Callithrix jacchus: one gene and its partner. The protein of the gene in region 2 interacts with the protein of the main gene of each other region in a pairwise test. Links are inferred from orthologs where the notes say so. Each region holds a gene or a part of one and is shown on either strand. Other genes may lie near its edges.

Evidence for each region.
Region 1: the proteins of RBM41 (region 2) and RALYL interact in binary tests that used the Homo sapiens proteins (3 or more experiments, as listed by UniProt). The two-hybrid records come from large-scale screens. The link is inferred for Callithrix jacchus from reciprocal best matches to the Homo sapiens genes RBM41 and RALYL.

The regions. Positions count from the first base shown.
Region 1 is NC_133517.1:42,626,051-42,632,372, reverse strand, and holds the start of RALYL (RNA-binding Raly-like protein), read left to right. Parts: upstream 1-2,148; 5' UTR 2,149-2,586; coding exon 2,587-2,602; intron 2,603-4,599; exon of another isoform or gene 4,600-6,322.
Region 2 is NC_133524.1:103,629,261-103,635,132, reverse strand, and holds part of RBM41 (RNA-binding protein 41), read left to right. Parts: intron 1-2,816; coding exon 2,817-2,964; intron 2,965-4,513; coding exon 4,514-4,680; 3' UTR 4,681-5,872. UniProt on the Homo sapiens protein: May bind RNA.

The DNA of each region.
Region 1 (6,322 bases), on a different chromosome or scaffold from region 2:
CACAATGGACTCACTTGTTTCCCTTGAACCTCTCCTTTGACTTCCAGCCTCAGCCAACAACTTGAGCAAGAGTCATACAGGAGTCTCTGCTATGGAGCACAGACCCTCGGAGCTTTCCAGACCAGCTCAGAAGCACCCGCGCACACTCAGACAAAACAAACAATGCCTGGTCCACGAATGAATAAATTAAAGACACCCACGCCCCCACCCACCGCTCCGAAACCCGCAGAAAGAAACCCGGGGGTTCCTAAATAAGAGGTGTTGTTGTGTCTTTCAAACTGCAAGCATTCCTCCTTGAAGACGGGGAACGAGAGCAGTGCGTTCAGATGGCAGTAAAGATTGACGGTGGCTTTGCCCGTGACAACGCCCCCAGCATCGCGCGGAGCCAGGTTCCCTGAGAACCGGGAGGGGAAACACAGATCCAGGGAGGAGGGAACAGCAGAGGCAAAGACAGCTTGGGAGGGAATGGGAATGGAAAATCAGGGGGGAAAAATGAATGAGTGAATTTGGGCTCGAATAGTAAAACTTCCACGGAGAAAAGGATGGTATCTATCCCCAGGTAACTACCTTGAGATGAAAAATACATGAAATACACAAGGAAGTGGCAAGCAACAACTCTGAGGTGAGCAGCAAGTTGTGCACCTCCTCTCAAGGCGCTGGATCAGCACCCCTGAGACGTCCCCACCGCACACACTCCCATTCCGAGGCGGCGGCGGCAGCAACAGAGGCAGCGGCGGCAGAGGCGGCGGCAGCTGCGCGCCTCCGGCCCAACCCCGCTCCGCTCCCCCTCTCGCCGGCGCCCTGCCTGTCTTGCGTGTGCGTGTGCGTGTGCTCAGCCTCAGCGTGAGGGGCACCTGCTCGTCTGGGCTCACAGCGAAGGCAGCCTCGCCGCGAGCTGCCGCTGCCACTGCTGCCGCCACTGGTGCTGCCGCTCGCAGGCGCCGGACTCCGCCGCCACCGCCGCTGCCGCCGCCGCCGCCGCCGCCGCCTCCTCGACAGCCAGTGTTGGGCTCCGTGGGCTTCCCCCCTCGCAGCCTCGGTCCTTCCCCGCTGCCTGCAAGTCAGCCTGGCTCCGAGTCACGTGTCAGTGCCTGAGGCAGAGACTGCGAGAAAAAAACGCTCTTCATTCCTTCTTCCACCGCCATACTGTATTTTATACTAAATCTCATTTTTATTCCAACATTTTACTCCCGCTCGGTGAGTACCTTCTCAGTGGCATTCTTGTCCTATTCTTTTTTTTTGTCCTTTTTTTTTGTTTTTTGTTTTTTTCTTTTTTTCCACTTCTTTGATTATTGTTTATATTTGGGAAAGCTGGAGGAGCATGGTTTTGAGCCTTTTCCTGAATCCAAGTTTTTCTAGCATGCGATCGTTCTGTAGACAAGGCGCTGTGTCTGGGAGTCCGCGGCGACCGTGCCCGCTGGGAGCGTCTCCCAAGTCCAGCAAAATGTGCAACTGGTTTTATGGAAAAAGCGATGTGAAGTATGGTGCCTATTTTTTTCCTCTGTAAAAATAAAAAGCATGTTTCTAACTCTTTTTTTGCATACTCTTTTTCTGATAACATTTTTTGTATAGGTGGGATTTTACGGCAGTGTTTACAAGTTTGTGGTCTTGCAATACTGGTGCAAACCACTGAGCAAAGACATTAATTTTATATTTTTGTGCCCTTTTTGGAAGCCGGTGAAAACAAATTCGTTTTTTTCTTCCTGTTTTTGATACCCATTGATAACATGAAACTTTTCTTACAGCTGGTGACTGGGATCATTTTTAAGCAAAATACTTTTTTCTTCCTCTAAATTAACTATGACTTTTGCACATTTGACTTTTTTAAAAAACCGAGATAATTTTATGATAGATATCCTGATATCTATATCTATATTATCCCTTATTTCTCCCTCTCCCCTCCCCGTAAATCAATTTTCCAAATGATGGCAGTGGAAGGTTTTTATGGAAAAAAAAAAAAAAATGAAGTGCGGTTTGGTTTCCTTGTCAACGGAGGATGAAGTGAACAGCTGAGCAGCTCGCAGAGAGCAGGTACTTGGTCCCCTTGGAGGCGTTTCCCGGGTGTGCAATGGCAACACTGGTCCTAGCAAAGAAATGCGTGAGTGTGTGTGAGAGAGAGAGTATGTGTGTGTGTGTGTGTTTGCGCGCGCGCATCTCCGGGCAGTGTCGGAGCCTGAGGTGGGGAGAGCCGCGCCGGGAGCCAGGGAAAACCAAAGTCTGTTCCTTGCCTCAGGGTCGTTTTCTAGATGTGCCCAAAATACGGACCCCCGCACACCCTACTGTGAGCTGCGCCCAGGTCGTCTCCCGACGGGTGGCGTCTGCGCTGCGGGCGGCGCCGGCCGGCGGGCCATGTAAGTTCTCCGAGGGCCACTTGCACAGCAGGAGGGACGAGGGCCCTGTACGTGGTGCGGGCCGTCTGCTAAAGGGGACCCTCAGAGCACCCGGGAGAGCGGGGGAGAAGCGGCAGAGACCGCTTCTTACGGAGGGGCTGGCTCCAGGCCACGCGGGCCGGAGCTCGAGACATTTCCAGAGCCTTGAGGATGGCACCAGCCCCAGCACGCTCAACTCCTGCTCCTCCTCCTCGCAATGAGTAAACGACGCAGTAGGTCTTTCCCAGCCTATTTTGCTTTTCCAAAGGGCTTTGCTTTCTTAGTGGTGCTGTTTTTGGATCTTTCCTTTCCCTGTTGCTTTGCGTTGGTTTTAAGTGCCTGCTGGTGTCGTCTTCCAGGGGATGGGGAAATAGTTTTCTTATATGATGGTGACTTGGGTTTAATATTGAGTACTAAGCTGTTAGTTTGCATTAATGACCCTACACCTTCAAGGGATAAAAACGCCTTTTGTTTAAATTTTAAAGGGGCAGAGTTTTCCCTCTTTTTAACCGCCTTATACCGACTTTAAAGGTTTTCCCCTGAGAACTGTGTACAGGTGACAAAGGTGATGATTTCGTGTGTTGGTAGCACTGAAGTCCTCAGTGTTGAATGTAGTCTATGATATTTTATGATTATTCTGTTACATATTTTCAGAATAATTTAGCATTACTTTTCAGATATGTACCAGCGAGCAATAAAAAGGTTTTTCTGTATTTAACACTGTGACAGAATCTGCTGGAAATTTTTTTGTCCAAATAAATTTCATAAAGGCATACATCTGAAAATCTGGAGAGTCACCATTATTTAAATAATTTGATTTTGAAGCTTTTATTTTCTTACCTTTTCTCCCCTTAAATGAAAAGTTTAGCTTTAAATTATTATGTGCATATATTTTGAATGCTGTAAAATAAACATAAGGCAGATAAAACAATTTTTTACCTCTCAGATGAAGTTTTCTTCTAGGTAACTACAAAAATACAAACTAACTCCAACATACAGAGAGGCCTAGGACAAAGTACACAGGCTTTTTCAAGCAATATTTCACTGTGTTTAACCTCAGTTTGTGGAATGAAAAGTTTTATGCCTTATTTTTTACTCTTTGTAGTAGAAAAGTAAGCAGTGCAAAGGGCCATTTTTCTGTAGAAGATTAAAAGTTACTATTATATCTGGAAAACTCTGTATTTTTTATTCATAATGAATGCAAGTATCTCAAAAGCCTTTGGACACTTCATTGTGAGTTATTTTGTTCTAGAGTAGCTTTTCCCTATGAAGGAAATCCTGTTGCATTTACATAAAGAAGATAGTTTATGTCGCTATTTGTGGACACTATATTTGATATCTTGATGTGTGTTCTTCTAAGATTTGAAGTCAATATGATGGCACTCAGCCTGAAATTAGTATTTTCTTATTTTGTATAGTGAGCTAATTACTAAAATATAGTTTTTCATATGGTTCAAACTGCTAACATAAAACATTAAAAAGCTATTTGCAACATTCTGAGATTTTAAAAATCATTTTAATTATAACAAGGTATGTACATATAAATGCTCATTTATTAAAAATGCAAGATAATTTATGTGTATATTTGGTATATTTTATGTATTGTAAGTCATTTCGTTCTTTTAAGAGAGAGAGAAAGAGACAGAGCAAGCAAGCAAGAAATAACTTGAGTTATTGAACCTGCATTTTCATTAAGAGAATCAATTGCTGCCCTAATGTTGAGGTAGTTTCTGCCTTAAGATTGAGCAAAGCACTGGCTGTACTATATATTTCTCAATGAGATTGAAATCATTTGATATCAAATGGTTTCAAATGGGAACAAAAATAATTTTAATGTGAGGATAGAGAGGTAGTTGTGCTTTGATTTCTGTAACTTAATATCATTCTAAGAACCTTTAGTTATCTGTGCTTTCATTTAAGATTCATTTTTAATTATACTGTATACTTGTATTACATTTCTGTCTATTACATTCAAGTCCTTCAGATTTCTTCCTGTATGAATAATACTGGAAATTCTACAACTCTTAAACAGGCCACCTGTTTAGTTTTCGGTTAAAAATTGTTGAAGGTAGTATCCTACATTTAGCACCGCCTACTGGCTTCTCATGGGAAAAAAATATATATATATTTTTTTTCTTCGTCAAGCAACCCATAGGGATTTAGATCAATTTAATTGTGCAGATTTTTTCTACTGCTTACTGAGAGAGTGGGGTGGGGGTGGGGATATGGGGGAAAAAGTGTCTATTTTGCAAGGAGAGAAGGTTCCCAAGCTAAAGGTAGGGACTGAGAGAAAGAAGATCCACAAATTAAATTGGCATTGGATCACTAGCTGACCTCAAACATTTTACTATCTAAATTGTGACAAATAATCACTAACTGAAAACAACCGGTTACATTTTCTAGAACTTTCTATGGGATGCTAAAATATGGGCATTTTTACAGTCTTGGATTACTAAATTAATTTTGCAGCATCTGTCTCAGTCTTGACATAAAAAAAGTCCTATTTGGAATTCTGTCTTGAGTATGTGGTCTATCCAAGAACATTTAAATGAATAAGTTTTCATCATTTAAGATTAACAATTATTTTTTTACATTCATTTTTTTCATGGTCATAAACAGTCAAGTAGCACCCTGATTTTTTTCGTAACTTGCATCAAATAGCCATACTGTGGTGGTATATATACAAAGGGGAAAATTTCCAAACATACCATTATAAAGACACGTATATTCTTAGCCATAACAGATGTGTTAAAATTTTAACAAATGATAGTTGGTTTATTTTCTCTAATTTGTGTGAAAGTCAAATGGTTAAAAGAGCTACTATAATAATACAAACAATGTCTTCAGAATATAAAAATAGTTAATTAGAAAAATAATTAGTGGGCCAGGCATGGTGGCTCACGCCTGTAATCTCAGCACTTTGGGAGGCCGAGGTCAAGAGATCAAGACCATCCTGGTCAACATGGTGAAACCCCATCTCTACTAAAAATACAAAAAATTAGCTGGGCATGGTGGCGTGTGCCTGTAATCCCGGCTACTCAGGAGGCTGAGGCAGGAGAATTGCCTGAACCCAGGAGGCGGAGGTTGCGGTAAGCCGAGATCGCGCCATTGCACTCCAGCCTGGGTAACAAGAGTGAAACTCCGTCTCAAAAAAAAAAAAAAAGAAGAAGAAGAAAGAAAAGAAAGAAAGAAAGAAAGAAAGAAAGAAAGAAAGAAAGAAAGAAAGAAAGGGAAAGAAAGAGGAAAGAAAGAAGAAAGAAAGAAAAGAAAAATAATTAGCTATGCTAAAAATTTTCTTCCTAGTTAAAAAAATGTGAAATATTTGGATAGCTTTTTCTTAAATACAATATATACTTCTTTTAAGACCCAGTAATAAGTATTTAGAAACTCCAGTGAGAAGTATATGTCTGCTGCATTCTTGCAACTGTACCCCAGTAAGAGTGTGGTCATGTTTTGTTTGCTATTTACTGATAGTGTGAGCCACTAAGTAAGCAGTGCATTCATCGATCTAACTCTATGTTTCAAGTCTTGAAAAAGCTCCATAATGGAAGTAGAAGAGAAATGAAGTGGATATGTAAGATTGTTGGAATAATAAGAATGAATTTGAGGAAAATATTGTAATTACATTTTATTTTTCTGACTTTTGAAACTTTATATTTTATTTATTTTTGCAGATATTATCTTCAATTCTCAAAACAATACTGCAACATACATATTTATTATCCCCATTTTACGGGCACCAAAACGAGGCTTAGAGAAATTAAATAACATGCCAAAGGTCACAAACTCTAGTGGAACTGGAGTCAAAATCCGGTCAACATGGTAACAAAGCTCTCTTTTTTTTTTTTTTAAATATATTCCATATTATCTTTTTTTTCTTTCCAACTCTTATTTAGTTTCAAGGGATACATGTACAGTTTTGTTACATGGCTAAATTGTATGTCACAGGGGTT
Region 2 (5,872 bases):
TTCTGATTTGGATGCGTTTTACTTCTGTTTCTTGCCTATTTGCTCTCGCAAGAACTTCCAGTACTATGCTGAATAGAAGTGATGAGAGTAGGCATCCATGCCTTGTACCTGATCCTAGAGGAAAAGCTTTCAGTTTTTTAATACTGAATATTGTGTTAGCTGTGGACTTTACATATATGGCCTTTATTATGTTGAGATAATTTCATTTTATTAGTAGTTGAGTGTCTTCATCATTGAAACAATATTGAATTTTATCAAAAATTTTGTCTGCATCTATTGAGATGATCATATAATTTTTATCTTTTTTTCTATTAATATGTGATATTGATCAATTTTTGTATATTGATTCATCCTTGCATCCCAGGGATAAATCCCCCTTGGTCATGGTGTATAATCTTCTTAATGTGCTATTTAATTTGGTTTGGTAATATTTTGTTGAGGATTTTTACATCTGTTTATTGGTCTGTATTTTTCTTACAGTGTTTTTGTCTGGGTTGGTTTCAGGGTAATCCTGGCCTCATAGAATAGCTAGCATGTAGTTGGATCTTGTTTATCCATTCAGGTACTCTGTCTTTTGGAGAGTTTATTAATATTTAATGTAACTATTGCTAGCAAAGGACTTACTATTACCATTTGTTCATTGTTTTCTGTCTCTCTTTTAGCTCTTGTGTCTCTCTGTCAGCTGTCTTCCTTTATGGTTCATTGGGTTTTTTGGTAGTGACATACTTTCACATATTTCTCATTTTCCTCTGTATATGCCCTATAGGTATAGGGCATGGTAAAGCAATCTGTTTGAAGCTGATAACATCTTAAGTTCAGTCACATATAAGAGCTCATTTTACTTCTCTTGATTTGTTTGTTTGTTTTTTTGAGACAGGGTCTCACTCTGTTGCCCAGGCTTGAGTGTGGTGGTGTGATGTGATCATAATTCACTACAGCCTCAAACTCCTGAGCTCTGGTAATCCTCCTGCCTCAGCCTCCCAAATAGCTGAGACTAGTAAAGTTGGCCAGTTGCTTACAAGTAGCGCATGCCACCCTGTCTCTTTTGTAGCGACAGGGTCTCACTGTGTTGTCCAAACTGATCTCACACTCCTGAACTCAAGCGATCCTTCCACCTCAGCCTCCCAAAGCACTGGGATTACAGGGGTGAGCCACTGTACCTACCCTCCCATGCCTAATAGGAGGAATAATTTATCTTATTTTTCTGGGGATATTAGTTATGGTTTGTTGAAGTTTTTTCCTCCCATTTCTTTTTTTTTCTGTATGTTTGTTGTGTTCTCTCTTTCACATTAGAGGATTTCCTAAGTTGCCTGATAATCCATGCCCAACTTTATAGGTAGGGACCAAAAAGCAGATTGGAATCTCTAAGCACACAAGTGGCTCTTGTTGACTTTGAGCTTCACTTTAAAGTGGTCTGGCTGGGCCATTTGTTGGAGAAACTCCTCATCCCAAGTCAGTATTTTCATATCTTTCCTCCTAGGACTTACCAGTTTTCCCAGAGAAGACTGTTCCAAACTCTTTGTTAGGAGGATACTACCAGCATTCTAGGAGCCAAATGGCAAGGTCTAGGAGGACCTCAACATTTAGTATGCATTCTTTCTCTTAGTCTCCTTGTTTTCAGAAACAGTATTCAGATCTTCAACTATGTATGGCATTCCTTGTCGTCTGGTGATAAGCCTCAAGTATTCTACCAGGATTGGCAAGTTTTCTTTTACCCCATAGTATATTGTGAGGGAGGGTATTTAAAGATCAAATTGGCTTTTAGACAGCCTTCAACCCAGCTGCCTTATTTTAACCCCATCTTTTCACATTTATTTCTGAAGGTAAGTGAAATAGTCAGTTTGGGAACTATTTCAGGATTCTGAAGTGGTGACAGGTGGGTTCTTGTTTTTCTCCACTACCAGCTTAAAATTCAGCTTTCTCCAGTGTGCTGAGTTGGTTCCTGCTCATCCAGTTTTTCATCTTCCAGACTATTACTGCTGTTATCTCCTTTTCTTGTTCCTCCTGACCTCCTTGGCTTGTGTTTTTTGTTTTTTTAAGTTCCCATAGTAACCGGGCGTGGTGGCTCACGCCTGTAATCCCAGCATTTTGGGAGGCTAAGGTGGGTGGATCACAAGGTCAGGAGCTCAAGACCAACCTGGCCAAGATGTTGAAACTCCATCTCTAATAAAGAATACAAAAATTAGCTGGGCATAGTGGTGGGCGCCTATAATCCCAGTTACTGGGGAGGTTGAGGCAGAGAATTGCTTGAACCTGGGAGGCAGAGATTGCAGTGAGCCAAGATCATATCACTGCACTCCAGCCTGGCTGGCAGAGTGAGACTCTCTCTGAAAAAACAAACAACAACAACAAAAAGGTTCCCATAGTTTTAGAGAGTTTTCTGGATGGAATGAAATTAAATGAATGTGTTCAGTCTGCCATTTTTATGTGAAACTAATTCTAATCATAATGAAAGAGTTGCCTATGGCTGGGCGTGGTAGCCCACACCTATAATCCCAGCACTTTGGGTGGCCAAAGTGGTTGGATCACCTGAGGTTGGGAGTTCGAGACCAGCCTGGCCAACATGGTAAAACTCCATCTCTACTAAAAATACAAAAATTAGCCATGTATGGTGGTGCATGACTGTAATCCCAGCTACTTGGGAGGCTGAGGCATGAGAATCACTTGAACCCGGGAGGCGGAGGTTGCAATGAGCCGAGATTACACCACTGCACTCCAGCCTGGGTGACAGAGTAAAACTGTCTCAAAAAAGAAAAAGAAAAGAGTTGCCTTATCTCCTTTATATGATATTTTGGTTGATCCTCAATTTGTTTTAGGTGTTATACCTGAAGAACCTTAGCCCTCGAGTGACTGAAAGAGATCTTGTGTCATTGTTCGCTCGGTTCCAGGAGAAAAAAGGACCTGCAATTCAATTCCGAATGATGACTGGACGAATGAGGGGCCAGGCTTTCATCACCTTTCCCAGTAAGTAATTTAATCCAGATGATTACCCAGTTGCCCCTCAGTTCACTAGAGTCTACCTATAACCTCTCTAATTTAGATATAGTCCTTTGATTTCTTCACAGCATGTGAGAACAAGAGAAAGAACGGAAAATATGTTTTCAGTGTTTCCTCTCCTCCATTGACAATGCATGACCACGTTACCCCAGTGTCCTCAAATTTCCCAGTCTTGACACTTCCTTCTTATCCTACCAAAATCTATACTCCCTTCACTGATGATAGGATTTCTATTCCAAGTTAAAATTAGATTACTCATTAATTAATGTATTAGTATTCTGATCCGAACACATGTACTTGCCTTATGCCCTGTTCCTTTAGGACTCAGTGAGTGCAAGCTAATGTACTAATTTATTACTAATTCATAATTAGTAGATGATGATAGTCTTCTAAATATTATTTGCATATTAATGCATGGCTTCTAATCCAAAGGGAAGAATAATATAAGAATTTTAGTTTCTGTGACAGACCAGATAATATGTTGTTTTGTGGGGAGGCTTTGTAGAATCTGTACCTTTCATTGTCCCTAAAGTATCATCATTTCTAAATAGCCTATTAATCTATGTGTAGGCAAGTGATTTTACACATGAGTACTGCTAAGCCCCCCTCCATTGTTTTCATACCGTCTTGTACCATCTTTCCTATTGTACTAAAGATTTTTTAAATCCTCTATATCAGTAGTTTTCAGTTTTTTTCAAGGGTAAGAACCCCTTTTGAATTTATAAAACAGTTTATGGGCACTCCACATGATATGATGTATTAATTGAAAAAATACTTAATAAAAAGGCTTTATAAAGCAAGGACTTTAAAATGTGTAGCTATTTTACTACTCTTAAAAGGTATACACTTTAAAAGATTTCTAGTACATATATATATGAAACAAAATTGTTTTAGTCTATTTGTCTACTTATGATACCACAAACTCCTGGCCATAAATCACCCCTTCCTTATTTCTTACATCCAGGCTTTTAGACCCATAAGTTGAATACTCCCGGCATATAGTATATATTCTCACATTTCAACCCATATACCTGCAAGGATTCTTAAACTTATTCATCCCAATAAGGTGGCCCAGAACCACTCTCCCACTGAAAAACATAAAGTGGCAAGGTGCCCTTAATAACATGATAACTTATTTTGTTTGTGTTACTCATTTCGAAAATGATTTGGTTCTCACAGTACCTATAATCAGTTATGTAAGATAGAGGCTTGTGTATAATTACTAATAGCTTAGACTTCTTTAGCACACTGCCTATATCCTTGTTTCTCTACTTATTTCTTTGAATTAGGAGACACCCTCAAACACCCATTTTGAGTTTTTATTATTATTTTTAGACATTAGTTTAATTTTGTTGAATAATGCAAATGGGAGATTATAGAAAAAATGATAAAATCAAATGATTATATGGTCTTACAGCTTACATTTAACTCCAAGGCAAAATAACCAAAACTAGACCTGGAATAGAATTAAATTATTAAGTCCTATGTAAATTGATATTTTTTCTTTCTCTTTTAGATAAGGAGGTAGCATGGCAAGCATTGCATCTAGTAAATGGATATAAACTACGTGGGAGAATACTGGTGATAGAGTTTGGAAAGAACAAAAAGCAACAGTCAAATCTCCAAGCTACTTCTCTCATATCATGTGCTACAGGTAGCACTACAGAAATAAGTGGTAGCTAGAATATATATAGATTGTGGGTCTTGGATGGTCTTTCTTGTGATGGAATCTTGGATCTAGGATTTATGTATAGACATTAGTTTGTTTGGAGTTGAAGAGGAAAAACTAACTGAGGGAGGGGAAAAAATTAATTCAGGAAACCCCTTTCAACTTTTGGAGAGAACTAGTAGAAAACATTTTCTATTATATAATTGAAAACTATATGGGACAGATGATATATGCTGAGTATGAAGGGTAGAGTGCTAAGAGTATTATTTTCTCAGGATAAATTACAAGGGATTATTCCTAAGGATTTTTTAAAATCTTTATAATTTTTCTGGGGTCCTCAATATTTGTCCCTAGGGATAACATTCTTTCTTAGACTGCTTCCTATATACAGAAATAAAAAACTAATTAAATGTTGAAATATTTCTTTACTAGAGCCCATTTGTCCATATTTCATCCACCTAGTAAATAAAAGAGCAGGACCCCAGGCCTAAGCATCAACAAATGCTATTAAGTCAGAACTCTCATCAGTAATAGTAGGTAGTTTCATAAGTCAGTTGACATATTTAATGAATGCTTCCTCCACAAGTTATCAGTCTTCAAAAAGCTATATATTTTTCTAGTTAAATCTTTTAGATCAAAATGTTGGTGTTCTCATAGCCATTTAAGCTAACAACCATTGAGTAATCATTGAATTCAAAGCAATAAACATTGATTAAGTGTCTAATATATGTTAATATTAGGCATATGAATTTTAGAAGAGGAACATACTAGCAAAGAATACCAAAGGGAAGTGGGAAAAAAGAGTCCTCTAGATAGAGGATGCCAGTCACAAATCCCCCAGTTGTTTTTTATGGTTTCTGGAAAATAAAAAGATAATATATAGAGAGGAAGTAGTATAAACTGGAGTCAGACCTGTACAGCCACTCATAACATTCAGTGACCTTGGCAAGTCACTTAATTTGAGCCTCGCTTTCTTCATCTATAAAGTGAGGATAATAATGCTACTTACCTCATTGGGTTGTGAAGATGAACTGAGATATTATCCAGGCTGAAGAACAGAAAGAAAAAATATGAATAAAATTGAGCAAGAGTATAGAACCTGTGTGACACCATTAATTAAGCATTCCTACATATTTGTAATGGGAGTACAGGAAAAAAGGAAGAGAAAAGAAGGAGCAGAAAAATATTCTAAGGAATAATGGCTAT